3 linked regions of the Xenopus tropicalis genome follow. The protein of the gene in region 1 purifies or fractionates together with the protein of each later gene. This does not show direct contact. Links are inferred from orthologs where the notes say so. Each region holds a gene or a part of one and is shown on either strand. Other genes may lie near its edges.

Region 1 (5,911 bases):
CAGTAAGTTAGCCAACATGGCCTTACTGACTTTGATTTACACAAAGAGCTGTGTTTGTTCAGCTAACAGACAAACTGAATTATTCATTCTATGGCACCCTGTAATGCTTTGTAAGCGTTAACCGCCCAACTGAATAGGGTACATGTAAGCAATGTAATAGTATAGTCATTCTGGATTTTCCAGTAGTCAATATAGGGGGGCCTCCAACAGCTTTATATGACAGAACTGCAGAGCACTACCTTAGCCGCATCGGCCTTGTAAAGGTGCCAAGGTGTGGTTTCCCTTAGAAATGAGCCCAAGAGTGAGTGAGAGACAGTTTCATGTTCTATTCACTCTTACAGGGCATATTCCTTCCTGGAGTTCTAGGGAAGGTGAAAGGGAGTTTTCTTATTGTTTCTCTGCAATAGCTGTCACACAAGAGCAACTCCATTAGCCTCCCCACCCCTAATAAAGGCACGGACTGACAAACAGAGCCTGAGCACTGATATGAATAAAGTTTGCATGGAAACTATTTACTTATAAGTGAACTAAAGCACTCAGTAAGATCTGGGCTGCTGCTGAGAATCTCAACTTTTGTGTTGTTGGAAATCTTTAAAGCATTAGCAGGTTATATACTGTATGTCTTAGCAGAATCCCCTGGTTTCTGTGCTGCCATGAGATGTCAGTCTGCATCTGCATTATATATATATCAAGAAAGGGTACTGCACACACAGGGACTTAATGCAAAGAAAAAAAGTGTTCATTGAAAAAAATCCAACATTTCAAGCATGGTCTGTGCTCTTCCTCAGGGACAAACCAACAGACTATGTCCCAACAGCCACATTAAATACCCCCCCACCACATAAAAAGTCCCTGTGTGTGCAGTACCTTTCTTTATATTTTATGTTTTACCTGCACCCAGGTTTTGTGAAGTGTGTGCTCCTCTCTGTTCATATATATGATATATACTTTCACTCGTTAGTGAGGACCGCTAGTGGGACCGAAACGTCAGTTTCCCTCAATAAAATTTGCTGTGGATATTATTAAGTCTTGAGGAGTGTGAGATTTTTCAGATGGTGATTATACATATTTCCACACTGCACCCAGGCGAAGTATTCTACTTATACGTGAGTGCCTACCCTCCAATATATATATATATATAATGCACTTATCGAAAGTTTGTGAACCCTTTCAAATGTTCTATATTTTTATATGAATGTGACCTAAAACATCATCCGATTTTCAAAGTCATAATATGAGATGAAATAAACCTAGTTGATCAAATGAAAGAAAAGGCATAATAATTTTTGTTTAATTTGTTTCACTAGGTTTTCTTTATTTAGTTTTAGGATTTGTTTGAAAATAAAATGATGTTTTAGGTCACATAATATAAAATATGAAAGGGTTCACAAACATTCAAGCACCACCGTATGTGCACAAGGGTATTTTACCACACACATTTAATGCCATGAACTGAGACTCTTTACCCCTTTTATTGCCACACAGCTGAGTATCACATGATTTTGCAGATCACTATGCTTCCTATTTACAACAGTTATAAATATTGTGAGCCAGGCAATCACTTTTTTAGGGAGTCACAGTTTAATATTATAGGCATCCTTAGTATCTGTTAGCAACCTGGCACTATCTTATTGTAAATAATGGAAGCAATTTGTTAGGGTAATAAAACAGAGCCCTCGATTGCTGGAACAGATCTTACCATTTGTCTGTTTTACAGCACATTAAAAGCAGAGCACATACCTTCCCTTGCAGTGTACTCATTATCTTCAATTACTCGGGCAAGACCAAAGTCAGCAATTTTGCACATTAAGGATTCTGAAACAAGCACATTAGCGGCTCTCAGATCTCGGTGGATGTAGTTCTTTTTTTCTATATAAGCCATGCCTTCAGCAATCTGTGGGAGAGATTATTAGGTGGTTAAGAGTACCTATAGGAGCCAGTCATAGAAGCCATTAATCTTTTGGAATTTAAAGGAACACTGTCATGGGAAAACATGTTTTTTTTCAAAACACATCAGTTAATAGAGCTTCTCTAGCAGAATCCTGAATTTAAAGTGCAAACTGTTTTTGCTATGTTTAATTTTGAAATGTCACATGGTGCTAGCCATATTCTTCATTTCCCAGGGTGCCACAGCCATGTGACCTGTGCTCTGATAAACTTCATTCACACTTTACTGCTGAGTTGCAAGATGGAGCGATATCACCCCCCTCCCAGCAGCCGATCAGCAGAACAATGGGAAGGGAGCAAGATAGCAGCTCCCGGTAGGTATCAGAATAGCACTTAATACTTTAGCATCTGCTAAACTGAAATGAAAAGTTCTTGTGCATGATTCGTAAAACTAAATGTACAATATTTGTAAGAAGGTGTTAATCTGGCTGCCATGACAATGTGCAAATCTCTTTAAAGGTTTCAATACAATGTAAAACGAGGAAATCTGAGCCGTGGCTAATACCACTGTTGTACAGATAGCTGGAAAAACAGGTTGAATATGACACCAGAATGTGTGCAGTGAAGAGGAAACCATAGCTAAAATGTATATTTCAGTTAAACCCATTATACAAACAAGCTCCCCAGTAAAACCAAAATCCTGTTGCTCACTGATTATCTACATTCCCAGTGAATTAACAGCAAAAAACCATTTAAGTCCAAGATAATTTACTCTTCTACTAAATAATACATACATATATGGAGACAGGGGTACCCCCATAAGACAGTGGGAGTGCTACCTATGTTTTTTGCTTGGTGAAACGCCCCATGAGCCATAGCCCTTGAACAGCAATAAATACAGGTATGGGACCTGTTATCCAGAATGCTCAGGACCTGGGGTTTTCCAGATATGCGGTCTTCCCATAATTTGGATCACAATGCCTAACGTCTACCAAAAAATCATTTTAACATTAATTAAACCCAATAGGTTTTTTCCTCCAATAAGGATGAATTATATTTTAGTTGGGATCAAATAAAAGGTTCTGTTTTATTATTACAGACAAAAAGGAAATTTTAAAAAGAAAAAATAGGATTATTTGCTTGTAATGGAGTCTATCGAAGATGAACTGCCCGTAATTCAGAACTTTCTGCATAATGGGTTTCCAGATAAGGGATCCAATACCTGTACCTTGTACTTGATTCCAGCTAAGATATAATTAATTCTTATTGGAGGCAAAACAATCCTAATGTGTTTATTCAATATTTAAATAATTTTTATCTGACTTAAGGTATGGAGATCTAAATTACGGAAAGATCCCTTATCCGGAAAACCTCAGGTCCCAAGCATTCTGGATAATAGGTCCCATACCCGTATAAGGATTTATTTATTTATAGATTGATGTAATAGGTTATTCACTCTGAGCTGATGGTGTGTGTGGGGCACCCAGGAGCAGATATAACAAAACTCAAGGCACTGATAATCAACTTGGAAAACAATGGCAGGTGTGACTACCGTACCTGAAGCAGGGGCCTAAGTAGCCCCAAAAGCTTAGTTAACCAATTAAAACTCTGACCTACTATATATTTTCTAGTATTATTCAGTCTAACATATGCTTCCTCTCCCTAACTTGTCATCTGCTTATTTTCAGATATACCCCTTCACTGCTTCTTTCTCAGATGCACAAAGTATCTTATTCTGCTTAACCTGAAAGGCGTCCATCATGTTCAGCCCACAAAGAATAACTCTGAACTCTGAAGCTCTACACACGGCAGATATTGTTAGCCATCTTTTGTCTTTAGTCATCCTTTGACTATAGTGGCCAACAGCTGCCCATGTATACATATGCAGAACCAAGGAGGTCCTACCGAACATGCTGGAAAATTCATGAGGGAAAACCCACTGATGCCAAATGCTTACTGGGCCTCTGCCATTTGATCTGGTGGCTGCCTGTACTGTCAAATCTGGCTGAAAGTTTGTAGATAACCTGGTCTGTCCATTTAGCTGCTAGGAGTAGCCATTTTCATATGTGGATATGGAACTCATTTAATAATTACAGTAAAACATTAAAACTATATTATGCAATAAATCCTGATGAATAATATGTTTGAAGTTCTGGTCCTTCTTCATGTACATATAACAAATACAGTATATAGTAAACCTAAAGGTTCCTGGGCCAAATTCATTGCTTTAAGAGGAGGCTACATGTGCACAGACCATCATGCAGTTTGGTCAGTAATGGACTATTGTAGCCCCCCCTTTTGTGCCCCCCCCCCCATCTGTCTGGCTGCTGTGACTGCTTACCTTTGTGTATGTTTAAATGGTATCAGTATTAACTGCCTTCCTGCATTGTTCACACCTTAGATTAAGGCTGTAAATTCCTTCACTGTTCACACCCACTGTATTGTTCACACCTGTAAAGTGCATAGTCTTGATAGGTCTCCCTGTCTCCTTCTCAAGCATGCCTGTGTCATATTCTGCTTGCCCTATGCTGCCTGTGTGTACCATACTCTGCCTGCCCTATGATGCCTGTGTGTACCATACTCTGCCTGCCCTATGATGCCTGTGTGTGCCATACTCTGCCTGCCCTATGATGCCTGTGTTTGCCATACTCTGCCTGCCCTATGCTGCCTATGTGTGCCATACTCTGCCTGCCCTATGCTGCCTGTGTGTGCCATACTCTGCCTGCCCTATGCTGCCTATGTGTGCCATACTCTGCCTGCCCTATGATGCCTGTGTGTGCCATACTCTGCCTGCCCTATGCTTCCTGTGTGTGCCATACTCTACCTGCCCTATGCTGCCTGTGTGTGCCATACTCTGCCTGCCCTATGCTGCCTGTGTGTGCCATACTCTGCCTGCTCTATGCTTCCTGTGTGTGCCATACTCTACCTGCCCTATGCTGCCTGTGTGTGCCATACTCTGCCTGCGTGTGCCATATTCTGCCTGCCCTATACTGTGCTGCCTGTGGGATATCCCTGCAATTATTTGGGTGTATTTATGTGTGTTACCACCTTTAATTTGGCTATAGTCTTAAAAGCTCTTGTGATAACATGGATGTGGTTTGACGAAGGTGTGGTTAAAAAAAAAAACAAGAAACCTGGCCTCCATTACCGGTCCTCCACCATGTAGGCCAAAATAAATTCAATCCCTTGGTACCACAGAAGTTGGGCAGCACTAGACTATACAATTTAATTAAAGTCATGTGCCCTAGTAAAGATGCAGGATTTTGGTCTATTTGGTGAGTTTACTGACATGTGGTGCTGAGCATTTCACTTTTATGTTTTAAAACATCATGTAATTTAGTGCAATTAGGTTAAATGCCAAGAATGCATTACCAAACAACAAACAGAAGACATTCTACAACAGAATATATATGTTCAAATATTTAATTCTTCATTGTAAAATACTTGTCATTGCTAAATGTTGGCCTTTGTTTCTACATATGAACGTTATGTTTGCATTTGTGTTGCTCTCTTTCCCTTATTTCCTATTTACAGTAAGTAAAGGCAACAGTGAGCCCATTGTGTGCGCACCTTGTTCCATTATGTATAAACAGTTGGTGATAACCCAAAACAATAGCACTCTTCACGAGAGCATACACTGTACAATTACTCACTGGCAGTGAATACAAACTATTTTTTTTCTAAGGATTTTACTTAAATTATTGGCAAAAGATTGGAAGCAGTTCATGTAATGCAGATTATAGTTGTTTGTGTCAACAGCTTTTTTGTTTTAGTTGATGGTTATGTATATTACATATACTGTATATGAACACACGTAGTCATGAAAGGTCATCTAAAAATAGCCTTCCTTAGGGTTACTGTTGAACCCAAGAGCAAGCTGCAGGTGAGTTGGGCAAGGATCACACATGCAGCTTTTTTTTGGTCATTGGTCTCAAAGCATTTTCCTTAAAAAAGCTGTATTTAAACACCCCAAATGACCCTTGCTGCTCCCTATAGCTGACAATGGGAATTCAATTGAAAAAAA
Region 2 (6,461 bases), on another chromosome or scaffold:
TATCAAGGAATCCAAGTCTGACTTGGGACTCCTCCAGTTACATGGGAGTAAGAGAAACAATAGGTTACCTGAAAGCAGTTCTAATGTGTAGAGCTGGCTCCTTCTGAAAGCTCAGACTCAGGCACAATGCACTGAGATGGCTGCCTTACACACCAATTTTGATAGATTTTAAAATGGAGTAAACCAAACTGAACTAAAGCCTATAACAGCGGTCCCCAACGGTTTTTGTACTACGGACCAATTTACAATTTAGAAAATGTTTCCACGGACCGGTGGGGAGCGAATTTCAATTACCGGGAGGGGGACGGGACAGAAATTAGCAGACCAAGCAGGCAAACAGTGTTTGACACCTATGAAGCGCAGTTGTGGCATTTTGCTTGTTATTGTGTCAGACCCGTGCGTGTGATATGTGGTGTAATGCACATCAGCACATCATACGCAGCCTTATGCGCGTCATATGAGGCGTTATGCTTGCGGTCACACGTCACTGCACTGAGGGGTCACTCTTACCCAGGTGCTGCCACAAATGCGGGATATGCAGCACTAGCAATATGTGCTGCAGTAGACATTCCAATGTACTGTAATATAGGAACAATGTTAGTATTCTTCTTAAGCCAAACTGCATCTCTTAGTCCAGAGTTACCTTATTAGTGCCAAACTCCTGAAAGAACTACAACCCTCCTGCTAGGCTGTGTATACTTTGAGTGTCTGAAAGTCTAGATATACTCCTTTCTCTGCTTTGTGTTCACGCAATATTTATCACATGATAGTTTTCTGTCAGTAAAAGTACTATGCCCTCACACAAAATATTGGTAATGAAGATTTGCCAATAGTACACAAAAATGATTCTTTTTCTGTCCCTATTCAAGTTTATTACCAATTTGGTCATTTCCGTTGCACGATGCAAAGTGAAGTGCTGTCCGTCCCTTGTCATCAGCTGCACATGGATCTGCCCCCTCATCTAATAATCGTTGTACTGGAAGAGAGCAAAAGGGGTTATGACCAATCACAAGCAAATATGAGGGGTGCTATAGGAGGGCAATTATTATATAGGCTTTTAAAGTGGATATTCTTAAGTCCTAATACACTATATTTAATAGTTTAAAGAAATATGAGTATGCTCATTTATTTATTTAATTTTATTTTTAGCTTTGATAGTATATCAAGCTTGTGAAATACACACCTGTATCCAAATCATTTCCATTGGCTGCTTCCCTTAGCTTCCTTAACGCTGAAAGTACAAAATTAAGTTTAGTTAATACTGAGGTTCATTACTGACACTAATGCAACTGAAATCAGCCTATCCACCAGGCTCAGACAGGCATTCAAAATAGGCCCTGGCATTTCAGAGGCCCCAACAGACCACTAAATAGTGACTGCCTATGGCATCTCGCAGCAGCCCCTCTGACATTTGCCAGAATCTACAGACTGCCAGTCTGGGTCCACTAACCACCACTTAACACCTCCTTTATGTAAGCAATTACCAGGATTCCTTGGTGTGTAATGAACATGCAAAGCACAGGGAGATACTTAAATATTTGTGATGGAATTCATAAACAGGCTACACAGGTAAACTAGCATTGAGGGGGGGGTGACTATGGGTGGGGATGCTGTAGCTGGCTCTGATTTCCCCTGATGGTATCTCTGTTTATATAATCAAAGATCATTTTATTACTCCATGCATAAATGCTTAAAGGGGTTGTTCACCTTTGAGTTAACTTTAAGTATGATGTAGAGAGTAAAATTCTGAGACATTTTGCAATTGATCTTTGTTTTTTTTATTATTTGTAGTTTTCAGTTCAGCAGCTCTTCAGTTTGGAGTTTCAGCACTTGGTTGCTAGGGTCCAAGTTACCTAAGCAACCAGGAAGTGGCTTGGACGAGAGACTGGTACAGGTATGGGATCCCTTATCCGGAAACCTGTTATCCAGAAAGCTCCGAATTATGGAAAGCCTGTCTCCCATAGACTCCATTTTAATCAAATAATTCAGAATTTTATAAACGATTTCCTTTTTCTCTATAGTAATAAAACAGTACCTTGTAACTGATCCCAATTAAGATATCAATAATCCTTATTGGATGCAAAACAATCCTATTGGGTTTAATTAATGTTTTATTGATTTTTTTAGTAGACTTTAGGTATGGAGATCCAAATTACAGAAAGACCCCTTATCCAGAATACCCTTGGTCCCAAGCATTCTGGATAACGGCGCCTATACCTGTATATGAATAAGAGAGAGACTGAATAGAAACGAAAGTTACAAGAAGTAACAGTAACAATAAAACTGTAGCCTCACAGAGCAATAGTTTTTTGGCTGCTGGGAACAGTGGCTTCCATTTTAAAACTGCAAAGAGTTGGAAGAAGGCAAATAATTAAAAAACTATAACAAATAAACAATGAAGCCCAATTGAAAAGTAATTCCATAACATACTAAAAGTCTTAATGGTGAATCGCCCCTTTAATCCCCATTTAGAAGCCCCCCTACTACTTTCTACTGGAATACTAAGCACAATCCATTTATTCCAATTGTGAGACACATTTTCAATGTCAGACAAGCATTCTTGGGGTACAGAACGTATGGCTCTGGAGCCAGATGTGGCTCTTTTGATGGCTGCATCTGGCTCACTAACAAATCTTTAATAAAAAAAATAACGGGGGGCGTGGCCTGCGCACGGCGAATAGAAGACGTGTTCTAAGCCTTAGAACACATCTTCTATCTGCCGAGCGCAGGCCACGACCTCCTCCGCATTGCATCCGGCATCCTTGGCACCCACCCTACCTTGCCCCGCAGCATCCACGGCCAAACATATTGTATGGCTCTCACAGAATTACATTTTAAAATATGTGGTGTTTATGGCTCTCTCAGCCAAAAAGGTTCCCGACCCCTGTTGTATAATGAATGGGCTGAAAGCACGAATACTCTAGTCCACATGATACTGTGCATGTCTACTAAGGTAATACCAGAGAAACAGAGCAATGCACCAAATATAGTAGTGATTCATATGAGTGGAGTTACACAATATATGCATAATTATACTGAAGAACTCCTCTGTACTACTCTCCTGCTGATGTTATTCTTTTGTATCAGCTGCCTATCCTAGATGATTCTTAGCATCAATGCTTCCCACCCAGTGACCAGTAAGATCCACTGTCTGACACACCAGTGATAATAAACATGTCCCACAATCTTTATGGCCCCCTTGCAGCCCCAAGTATGATAGTGTTCTCCCCTGAACAAAATTTTTTGTACAAGCCAACAGGACTGGACACAGTGCAGTATTATTGGCTTCTGAAATGAGAATTCTGACACCGTGTGCAACGTGCGGGCCAGAGGGGCACCAGGTGGTGGGGAAAATACCAGTCAATCCACCCCGTAAAAAGGGCCTGGGGAAAACATTGAGCGACTTCTCTAACCAAATACTGGGTCACTGGGGCTCATTTACACACACAATCCCTAATACTTCCAACACTAAACACAATCTGGTTTCCCAAACTTCTGTGCAATTTACCCAGAATGCCAAGCAAGTTTAGAAGAATTGAGAAATCACCATGTCTAGTAGGTTTGTAATAACTGGCGCAGAAAGCCACGTGCTTTGGCTTTTTAAAGGGGGATCTCCACCCAAATAATGTCTGTTGCATACTAAAAATGTAATTCTTTCCAATACACATTAATTGAACATTTGCAATGGTTTTAAAGTTATTTGCAGAGGAAATTGCTATTTTGGTTCAAACGTTACTTTAGTAACCCTCTTCAGGCGTTCAGGTGCCCATATCGGTACAGCATATTACCATAGTTCTCTCTCCCCAGGGGACAGAGCCTGTGACGGTGCTGCCGAGTCTTAACGCGACCTCCTAGGTTTCTCCGTGGCCTCTCTGGTTCCTCCCATAAAGCTCTTAAAAGCTCGGGTACCTCGGATACACAGAAATCCCCTGCCGTGGGAACATGACATAGTTCTGTCGGTACAGTCTTACTAGCCTGCTCCTCAAGCTCCATTTGCTTCACAGGTTCCTAAAGGACCAGCAGGCCACAGTAACCATAGCAATGGAAGGCTACAGCCAATCGAAGACTGCGAAGCGTAAATCTCGACCAATCAGCTTTACTGATTTCTATCAGCGCTATGACAGTTCCGGCCAACCAACATGAACAGACTTTTGACAGCGAGCGGCAAAATACATATAGCCATCCTTCATTGGTTGAAAGATCTTGATAGACAGTTGTTTCCGCCAGTAACTGATGGGCAGCTGTAAAGCGGAACGATCCGGCTATAAAGGCCTCCAATGCCGTGCAGTCCTGACGCATTATGGGAAGTGTAGTTTTGGACACCGCAGCTACAGAAGCCATTAATGATGGTTTTCACAACGTTACTGCTACTTGTCTTGTGCAATTCTAAATACAGTAAAACCATTTGTGAAATATAAATGAGGCTTTTGTAAAATGAAAAGCCATTCAGAACCCAGTTTCTGAATGAGTAGCTGCTGAGGCCAAGTAGGGGGCCGACTAGAAAAGATTGTAAGCTCTTTGGGATAGGGACCTCATCCCAATATTTGTTTTAATATTTGTTTTAACTGTCTGATTTATAATGACCATACCCCTGTTTGTGTCTATTGCTTTTAAAGCTCTGTGTACCCTTGTGGGGCTATATAAATACAATATAATCAATATATGATTGTGAACAATGTTCATATTACTAATGTTTATGTGGACCCAAAACAATTTCATTGTATGTTCCTGTAACTGCATATGAACTGACTGTGCAGTTCCCAATATTTTTCTCTTAATAAATCAGCTTCTTTCACTTTCCTTTATCTCCTTTGCACTGCTTTATGTGGGGAGACCAGGGTAACACATATCTATGGTGGCCACCTGGCCAGTAAAAAATGATGCCAATGTTATGAAAGGGTATCTATCACATACAAGTAACAGAGCCCACACTACAGATGGGGAAAATAAGTGACCCCCTCCCCCCCAAGCACTTGGTGGAAGCTCCCAGTGTGTATGGCCATGTTGGGGTAGATGCATATCTCCTATCTGTCTTAATTTTTATGGGACAGTCACAGTTAAGCACACAGCCTGCTGTCCTGGACTGTATTCTTATTCCCACACCTTGTGTCTCAACCCTTTCTCCTTGTAGATTGTTAGCTCTTTTGGGCAGAGCTCTCTTCACCTCTTGTATCGGTTATTGATTGCTTTATATGTTACTCTGTATGTCCAATGTATGAAACCCACTTATTGTACAGTGCTGCGGAATATGTTGGCGCTTTATAAATAAATGTTAATAATAATAAATTGTGCCACATGTCATGGCCAGCTATCAGCTCCCTGCTCTTCTAAACAAAATCCAAGATGCTTTGCCACTGTGGAATGCACCATTGTGGATTTTTTTTTCACAGTGGTTTAATAATCAGGAAGAGGGAGGCTGAAGAGTTATCTTACTGGCACATCTAGGGTTAATATGCACATTACCCATACCCACATCTGGGGTGTGTTTTGGTAAAATGGGTGTGTTTGCTTATGTGCATGTCCACAAAGTGAACAAAAAAATATTCCCAGCTTGGTCATAATTCACGTTTGTGACACAGGATCTGGGAATGGTTCAATAAATCCTATATCACACATATTTGTATAATACTAATACTTGTGTTAGCATAATATAGTTTCAGCTGTGTTGCTATAATTAAAAGAGAAACCCACAGATATTTTTTATATAAATTGAAAATAAAAGCAGTATTTGTTTGTCCCTCTCTGCACTGCTCGTTCAGACTCTTGGAACAGTAAAGGAAAAGCCCTGCTTCTTGAGCATGTCATTAAAAATGGCAGAAATGTAGCCCCAGTCTATAGGTTGTGCTGCTTCTTTGGAAGCATAATGTTTGTTTGTGACACATTGCTGTAGTTACCAGGCCAAGCTGAACACAAACAATTGCCACAAACCAAGGGCCTGTGGCTGCTGGGTGCCAAGTATAGGTGGCATAAAGAAGAACAGTTTTATGACGGTGTGCCTCCCTTCCACACAGAATATACCAGTTATAATTACAAGATCTCACTACATTTACTTTAGTAAGCGCGCGCTTCTCCAGCGCCATCTCTCGGCAGCGCTCATTAGTACGCCATGACGTTTTAGAAAGGCGCCGGAAGTCTCCCTTTTCTCTTCCTGTTTAAGTGTGTAGTGTGCGCTCCGCGGGTGCCGGTGTTCGGTGTCCTGTTCGCACGATATAACCATGTCCTACGCCAACGAAGAGTTTGAAGTGAGTAGCGTTGGCCTTTTGGCCCTGATTGCTTTGGGGTGCGGTGCATTGCACTATAGCTAGAGACGTTGCTGTGGGATATGATAGTTAGGGTTATAGGACTTCAATCCCTTGTGTTAAAAGAACAATGCCATAGTAATAATATGCACGTTATCTTTATTTGAGATTTTGTAATATGGCAGATTAGTTCTGAGGCTTCATGTTTGGTGGCAAGGTGGG
Region 3 (6,448 bases), on another chromosome or scaffold:
GTTTCGCCCGCCGCTTACGAGCGCTCAATACGAAAAAGTCGCGACAAGATACGAGCGAATCGTAATGGCTACGAAAAACTCACATTTTTTCGCGCAAGTCGTAATGGCTACGAAAAAGTCGCGACAATTTCCGAAAAGTCGTAAAGGCGCCGAAAAAATCGCAAAAAATACGAAAAAGACGCAAAATGTTCGTTTTCCAATCGGAATTTTTCCAATTCGGATTCGGATTCGTGGGTTAGTAAATGTGCCCCTAAGTATGGCAGATAGTAATGCCTATAAAACCATGTACTGCTTTTAGAAATGTCAGAGCTGTGCCCACATTCCAATAATACAATTATATTCTTTTCTGTTGTTGAATTATGAGGTTTATGTGATAAAAGGTGCAAAGTTTACTACATGTCAAGTCACCTATAGCAACCAGCTAAACGTTTACCTTTTTAATAACAGACACCTCACAGTCCCAAAAAGAAAGAAGATCTACAGATAAATTGGAGCCCTAGCTTAGGTTGACAGGAGATGTAGTTCACCAATATAAAATCTACACATATAGAGTGCTCAGAATACTGCCAGTTGACTAAAATTCGGTCAGCAGCAGCCTAATGGCAGTATTTTATGGATTCAACAAGGTAACAGGGAGACGTGTACCTTCATGATTAGATATGAACATTGACTGAATTAGCCTATAGGGACATGAGTATAAAGGTGGAAAACAGTGGTAGTCAAATTGCTCCTTATAGCCATCAGTGTTTTGGAGCCAAGGTCCACCTGAGCCGATATGTTTCTTAGATTACATTTAGAGAACTGAGTGAATTCACATGTATCTTAACATTTATTCTAACAACAACAGCTTCCAGGGTCAACCTGACACTAGCAAAAGGGTTAGAAGGAACTGGATGATTAAAATATTTTTACACCAGCAACGGTAGATTAAAAGCTGTGCCAAATATATGAAAAAGACACCAACACCACAAGGAAGCTTTCTTGAGAATACTCCCCATTTTTTATCAACACAAAAAAATCTAAAAAGCCCAGAGTTAGTAGCAAAGGACAGTACCAAAGCCCCTTTATTGCTGGATAACCCATGGGTAGAGCACAAACTGTCACCAGACCTCCACTAATTTTGCTTATGTACACATTATAACAGAGACTGGAAGCCACCGATTTTGTTCAACAATTTTTGTATTGAAGTGAAGCGCAATTTGAGCTTTCCTTGTGTAAACATTAGTTTGTTTAACTCAACTAGTATTTCTGCAAGGAATAAGTATTGCTTGTTTTTATTTCTGAGAGCAGCTATCCCTTTTACTTCTTACTGCTGCACAGTGGCGTTGAGGCTGCCATGTCTGATGCTTCATCTTCTGTGCCACAGCTCCCTGACAATGATCATCAGCCACAACAAGCCCTTCACTGGAAGGCGACCTTGTCCTGGCTTCTGGCCGTTAAATGCCATCGTGAAGCCTGAGTACTGGAATCTGAGTTAAAAAAATTCAAATTGTGGGATCATATTTTCTGTCCTTGATATTCTTGGCATTATAAGAATTTACAGATATATTTCTATTCAGACATTTTAAACAACACCCACTATCTTTTATAACATGAAAGCAATTCATTTGAGAAAATGAAAATACTGCACAGTTTTCTTGGAACCCACATGTGCAGTATCAGTTTAACACTTTTACATGCTTTGCACCATTACAACTGTCACTTCAGCCCCTCAGAAGAGTTATGTGAAGCAAAAAGGAAATGAAGAAATTACTGCACTGTTAAAACCAATACAAGTCAGTTCTCATTGGTGCCTGCAAAATATCAGATGGAGAGCTGCCTCACTCTTGGGCAACTTATTAAGGCATTACTTCTTCTCCACATTTTACCCATGTAAGAACACAAAAGATATTTATGAAATTCTGCAGAACCTCTCATAAAACAGCTATAAAACCAGTTCTACTATTAAAGTGCATCTTTCCATTTCACAGCTGTAACAGATGACAAAGAGGCTTATGCATTACCCACAAGTCTTTTTTAAGTGCAGAAGTAACTAAAAACAGTATGTTAGGAGGAGCTTTATTAATCTGCATTTAACTTTTTAGTGATAATGACATGTTCCTCTATCACTGTTAATTTGTCAAAACAAATTCCCGTAAGCCACCCCTAACAGCACTTATCTCTTCCCAAAATAGGGAGCCAGTTGTCAGCAAAGCGCCTTTCACAGGCTAGGGAACGCTTTACATTTGTAATTCAACGATCTTATTATCCTAGACTCCAAGTCCAGTGTGACCTAGTGAAGCTGCTTCACACATTGCTGGCTGAATATTGGGATTTTGTGTGTTTGATTCATGTTTGAGATGCAGGTCTGACTACACGCAAATGTAACAGTAAGTACCATGCCAGTTTAACATCTTTACCCCAGCAGTTCCACAACAATGCACACATTTAGTTATGTAACTAGAACTGCTAAAAATTCACATGGGGCTAAAAAGTTTATCCAGGTAAAATTACAGCAATCAAAGCACACTGTTCCCAATAAAACTGCCGTAATGACCTAATACTTTAAATCAGGAGAAAGATATGTAATGTTAAAGAATTGCTGTTCATCTTCAGCTTATCTGCCAACAGGCATTACACCATAGAGAACCAGAACAAAGGTCAACAACAGAAAAAAACACAATGCTACAGTCAGACATGGTTTAGACAGAGAAAATACTGATTCGGCCCCCACCCTGCCCTCTGCGCATTTGCATTAAGAGAAATGAAATCGGCTTGTCACTGCATATATAGGGAACGTTTTTCTAGAAAATTCAGCCATTAATTTCTGGCTGAAATCAGCCTTGTTGCCCTGTGACACATGGGTAAAATAGAAAGAAACACAGATGGTGCAAGACACAGAGAAATATTGCAAGAGAAAGGGGACTGCAGTGTGCAAAATGCTATTTCGGACATAACTGCCATTTTGTTTTTACCAACAATCTAGCATTTTGTCCTATCATTCCAGCATCATTAAATTCACCATCAGATGCAACTACATCCCATGCATTAAAACTGACGCAGTTGCACTTGTACTTGCACTTTGGCAGGAATCAGATGCAGCTGGCATGATTGCATACATTCACCATGAGTGTGACATAGGCCCTATGCTTTTGGCACAACTGCGACGATTGGCGCAAACCACTGTGGTAACCATGAAGCTACCACAAAGTCTGGAGGTCTGTAGCAGCCTAGTCAGTAGGTGCAACTGTTATCTCCAGATGCATCTACCTATGCAGCCACCACATCTGCTATTTTGCAAATCATTTTTGGAGAAGTCTGAACTCTTTGCAAATGTACAGAAGGGCTGAAAAGAACCATCTGTGCCACACATGGAAAAAGTTGCAATTTCCTTCTTTGTGTGAACAAAAGTCAAACGATTTAAAGAGTTTGGATTCGGCGCATCCATTGCACAGTGCTGAACACTGGCAGTGAAAAACTATATCAGGCTGTAAGGATATGGTTTAGAATGGAGTGACACGGACAAACACCGGTACCCATGTCAATATAACAGACATATTCACTAGTTTTCAGGTAAGTTTACATATTAATATTGCACACTGCCAAAGTGCACACCTTGTCATAAATAACAGAGGTGCAAAGACACTGGAGAAAACCCAAGCAGTAACTCCAAAAATAATCACAAGAGCAAAAAGTATCTGCACACTCAAAACATTTCTTTTTGTATTTACTTTTTTTAAATGTGCAGATACTTTTTGCTGTTAAGTTTACATATTAACTCCATCCTATGGGAACAAGCACTAAGGTGGCACAGGTGCGCACAGAGAAAGTTTTAGTTCCAGCCCATAGGTACTGCCCGGGCTACATAGCAGGTGTCTGTGCGTCAGACAAACAACACTTACGTACTTTACACTATATGGAGATGGTACAAAGGCGGCTGCACTTCATCTCTCCTCCGAAAAAATGTCCGACGGCGACTCGGGGCCGGTAGTTTCCTGCTGGTGTCCCCGGTGCAGCACCAAGCACATAACTGTGCGGCTCAGAGGCGGGGGGTCTGCCCAGCAGCGCTCCTACAAGGAAGTGTCCCTCTCATCTGCCCGGGCTGTACAGCGCGCTGCCCTTCCTGTTTTCACCTATTTTTTCTCTCGCATGCATTTTATGACGTAATGTCAGCCTAAAACATGAACCCTTAAAGGTGTATTCGAAAGAGGTAACCCGCATAAACCGTGTCATATAATCTGCGATTAATAGTAACGGTAACGGCACTCTGGTGCACCGCCCTTAAAAATGAAGTTTCTGTTTGTGCCGTAATGATTGTTAGGTATGTTCCAGGGTTTTTTTTTACCTTTAAGATAGGGCTGCCCGTAAATGCCCAGCTTTGGCAAGGCAGTTTCAATATCAACCACACTGCCCCGACATCCGCACATATATTCCAGGTCAGAGGGTCATTTTGACCACATCTGCAAGTGCAATATCAATGAGGAAGAGGAGCAGAAGCTCTTCTTCATATACTGCAAATCCCAATAAACAATATAAAGGAGGCTGTATGCCTATATTGTATGGCCACTCCTACAGTATCCACCTGTTACTTAAGGCATACATGCACCTAAGAAGGATCTGTCTTCAGTGCCAGTTTTACCAGGTTGCAGTTTACCTGTAGTACAATGGAATTAAATTACATTTTTAAAAAATCATTTTGACTATTCAGGTGTAGAAACCACAGGTCCTCCTTTACAATAGTGATACCACCCCTTCTCCCCATTTGAGTACTCTAGGCAAGTATGGATTGGATTGAGTATGGCGGCTGCTGGCACAGTTAGTACAACTATCTTTTGTAGCTAACTTGGGGTAGACATCAAAGGCCTGCTTCTTTGATGTCATTGTTGACATAAAAAGAAAGCTCAAAGCTGTTTGCTGCATCATAAAGTATCACTGCACTGCACTGTACACAGTCAATTGTTTTGGGTACCCACCTGAGGCCCACAACTTTGGTGGCAGACCCAGGCTGCCCAGCAAGTCAGGACTGGGATTCAAAGTAAAGGTGGCCATACATGGGCCGAATCTAACTGCCGATATCAATCCTTTAGGCTAATGCCAGACGAGGAGCAGAGCGGATATTCTCAGCAAGCGGAAAAGCGCTTGCTGAAAATACCACCCTACGCTTCCTACATGTGCCTGCACCTGGTCGAATGAGATAGGCTCGGGTGCAGGCACATGTAGCCGATATCTGCAAGAGAATACAAAGCCTTGCGTTTTTATGCTTATTACGGTTACATGTGCCTTAGTTTCGGCAGCTTATCTGCCCATGTATGGGCAGGAACTATAGAACGACGGACCTGCCCGACCAACATCTGGTTTTGAAATCGGGAAGATCTTGATCAGGCAGGTTTGATTTTTTCCATAGGATCAGGAACCGTATCAGCTCATTGATGCAGCCCCCAAACCAAGGGTGCCTATACTCACCGTTCTAATTTGATCATTTTACCCAGGGCCTCATTAAGGAAACCTAGAAAATACCACCACATACAGACTGCCATAATTTCAGGGTTCACTTGCTTTAATGCATGCACTTGTAATTCATCAGAGCAGGCTGGGTGGACATTGTGGCTGCCTTAAATCAACCTTAGTTTTAATGCTTTGCTCTTACACTTAGTTATTAAGGCTTCTATTGTTATTTTTAGTATAATCTAGTGGATGAACATCAACTACAGTATACACTTGGGCAGTGATGACCTAAATAATCACTATTATACCATATCCATATATGCTAGTAGGGACTTTGGTTAGTTGAAAGTAGAATCCACTTTGTTGGCTGGCAGAATGCACATTTTTAATAAGCAAGCCAACAACAAGAGCTACATTTTATATCTTGTAACCTATAGCAGCCAATCAGATCTTTGCATTTAGTTGATAAGAGATTACATTTTATTTGTTGATTGGTTAATTGATCAGAGCAAACATTGCATCTGTTACATTTCATCCCTATTCCAGTGCTCTGTTCTACTCTATGATATGGTAGGAAATTAAAAAAAGGAATACAGGAGGTTAAGGCCCAAGTATGAATCTGTGCAATCTCCCCACTGAAGAAAACACAAATAGATTTCATAGGAGATTGACGCATGTAGCTACTTGTCACAGCTACTAAATGTCAGAAAATACCCTGCCATAGACAATACTGAGATTTGCCTCTGCTAAAACACACATAGAGACAATTATCAGTAAATTACCAGCATTGTCTATTTTTGTAGCCACACCAAGTAGTTGCTACTAGTAGCTTTGTGAGTCTTCACCTTAAAGGATTTTTTCAATTATGTGTGCAACTTCTGTGGATCCATTATATCATCCATTTGCTGATATTGAGTTTTTAACTATGTTTTGCTTTAGTGGGAACCTTTCTCTATTCTACCAGACCTGAGACATTCCAACATGCTTTTTCTGCCTCTGGTGAATTATTTACAGACTATGGGAG

What was found. Proteins that work in one complex are often made in the same cells at the same time.
Region 2: the proteins of lyn (region 1) and ankrd54 purify together in Homo sapiens (affinity purification with mass spectrometry; 3 studies listed by BioGRID and IntAct, with this or other methods). This does not show direct contact. The link is inferred for Xenopus tropicalis from reciprocal best matches to the Homo sapiens genes LYN and ANKRD54.
Region 3: the proteins of lyn (region 1) and plcg2 purify together in Homo sapiens (affinity purification with western blotting; 3 studies listed by BioGRID, with this or other methods). This does not show direct contact. The link is inferred for Xenopus tropicalis from reciprocal best matches to the Homo sapiens genes LYN and PLCG2.

What each region holds. Positions count from the first base shown.
Region 1 is NC_030682.2:115,677,288-115,683,198, reverse strand, and holds part of lyn (tyrosine-protein kinase Lyn), read right to left. Parts: intron 4,029-5,911; exon of another isoform or gene 3,576-4,028; intron 2,262-3,575; exon of another isoform or gene 2,222-2,261; intron 1,895-2,221; coding exon 1,741-1,894; intron 1-1,740. UniProt on the Homo sapiens protein: Non-receptor tyrosine-protein kinase that transmits signals from cell surface receptors and plays an important role in the regulation of innate and adaptive immune responses, hematopoiesis, responses to growth factors and cytokines, integrin signaling, but also responses to DNA damage and genotoxic agents.
Region 2 is NC_030680.2:122,076,499-122,082,959, forward strand, and holds the start of ankrd54 (ankyrin repeat domain-containing protein 54), read right to left. Parts: upstream 4,113-6,461; 5' UTR 3,994-4,112; coding exon 3,789-3,993; intron 1,232-3,788; coding exon 1,184-1,231; intron 977-1,183; coding exon 878-976; intron 1-877. Other genes in the region: eif3l (eukaryotic translation initiation factor 3 subunit L), read left to right, coding at 6,216-6,242. UniProt on the Homo sapiens protein: Plays an important role in regulating intracellular signaling events associated with erythroid terminal differentiation.
Region 3 is NC_030680.2:64,131,543-64,137,990, forward strand, and holds the start of plcg2 (1-phosphatidylinositol 4,5-bisphosphate phosphodiesterase gamma-2), read right to left. Parts: upstream 4,113-6,448; 5' UTR 3,886-4,112; intron 1-3,885. UniProt on the Homo sapiens protein: The production of the second messenger molecules diacylglycerol (DAG) and inositol 1,4,5-trisphosphate (IP3) is mediated by activated phosphatidylinositol-specific phospholipase C enzymes. It is a crucial enzyme in transmembrane signaling.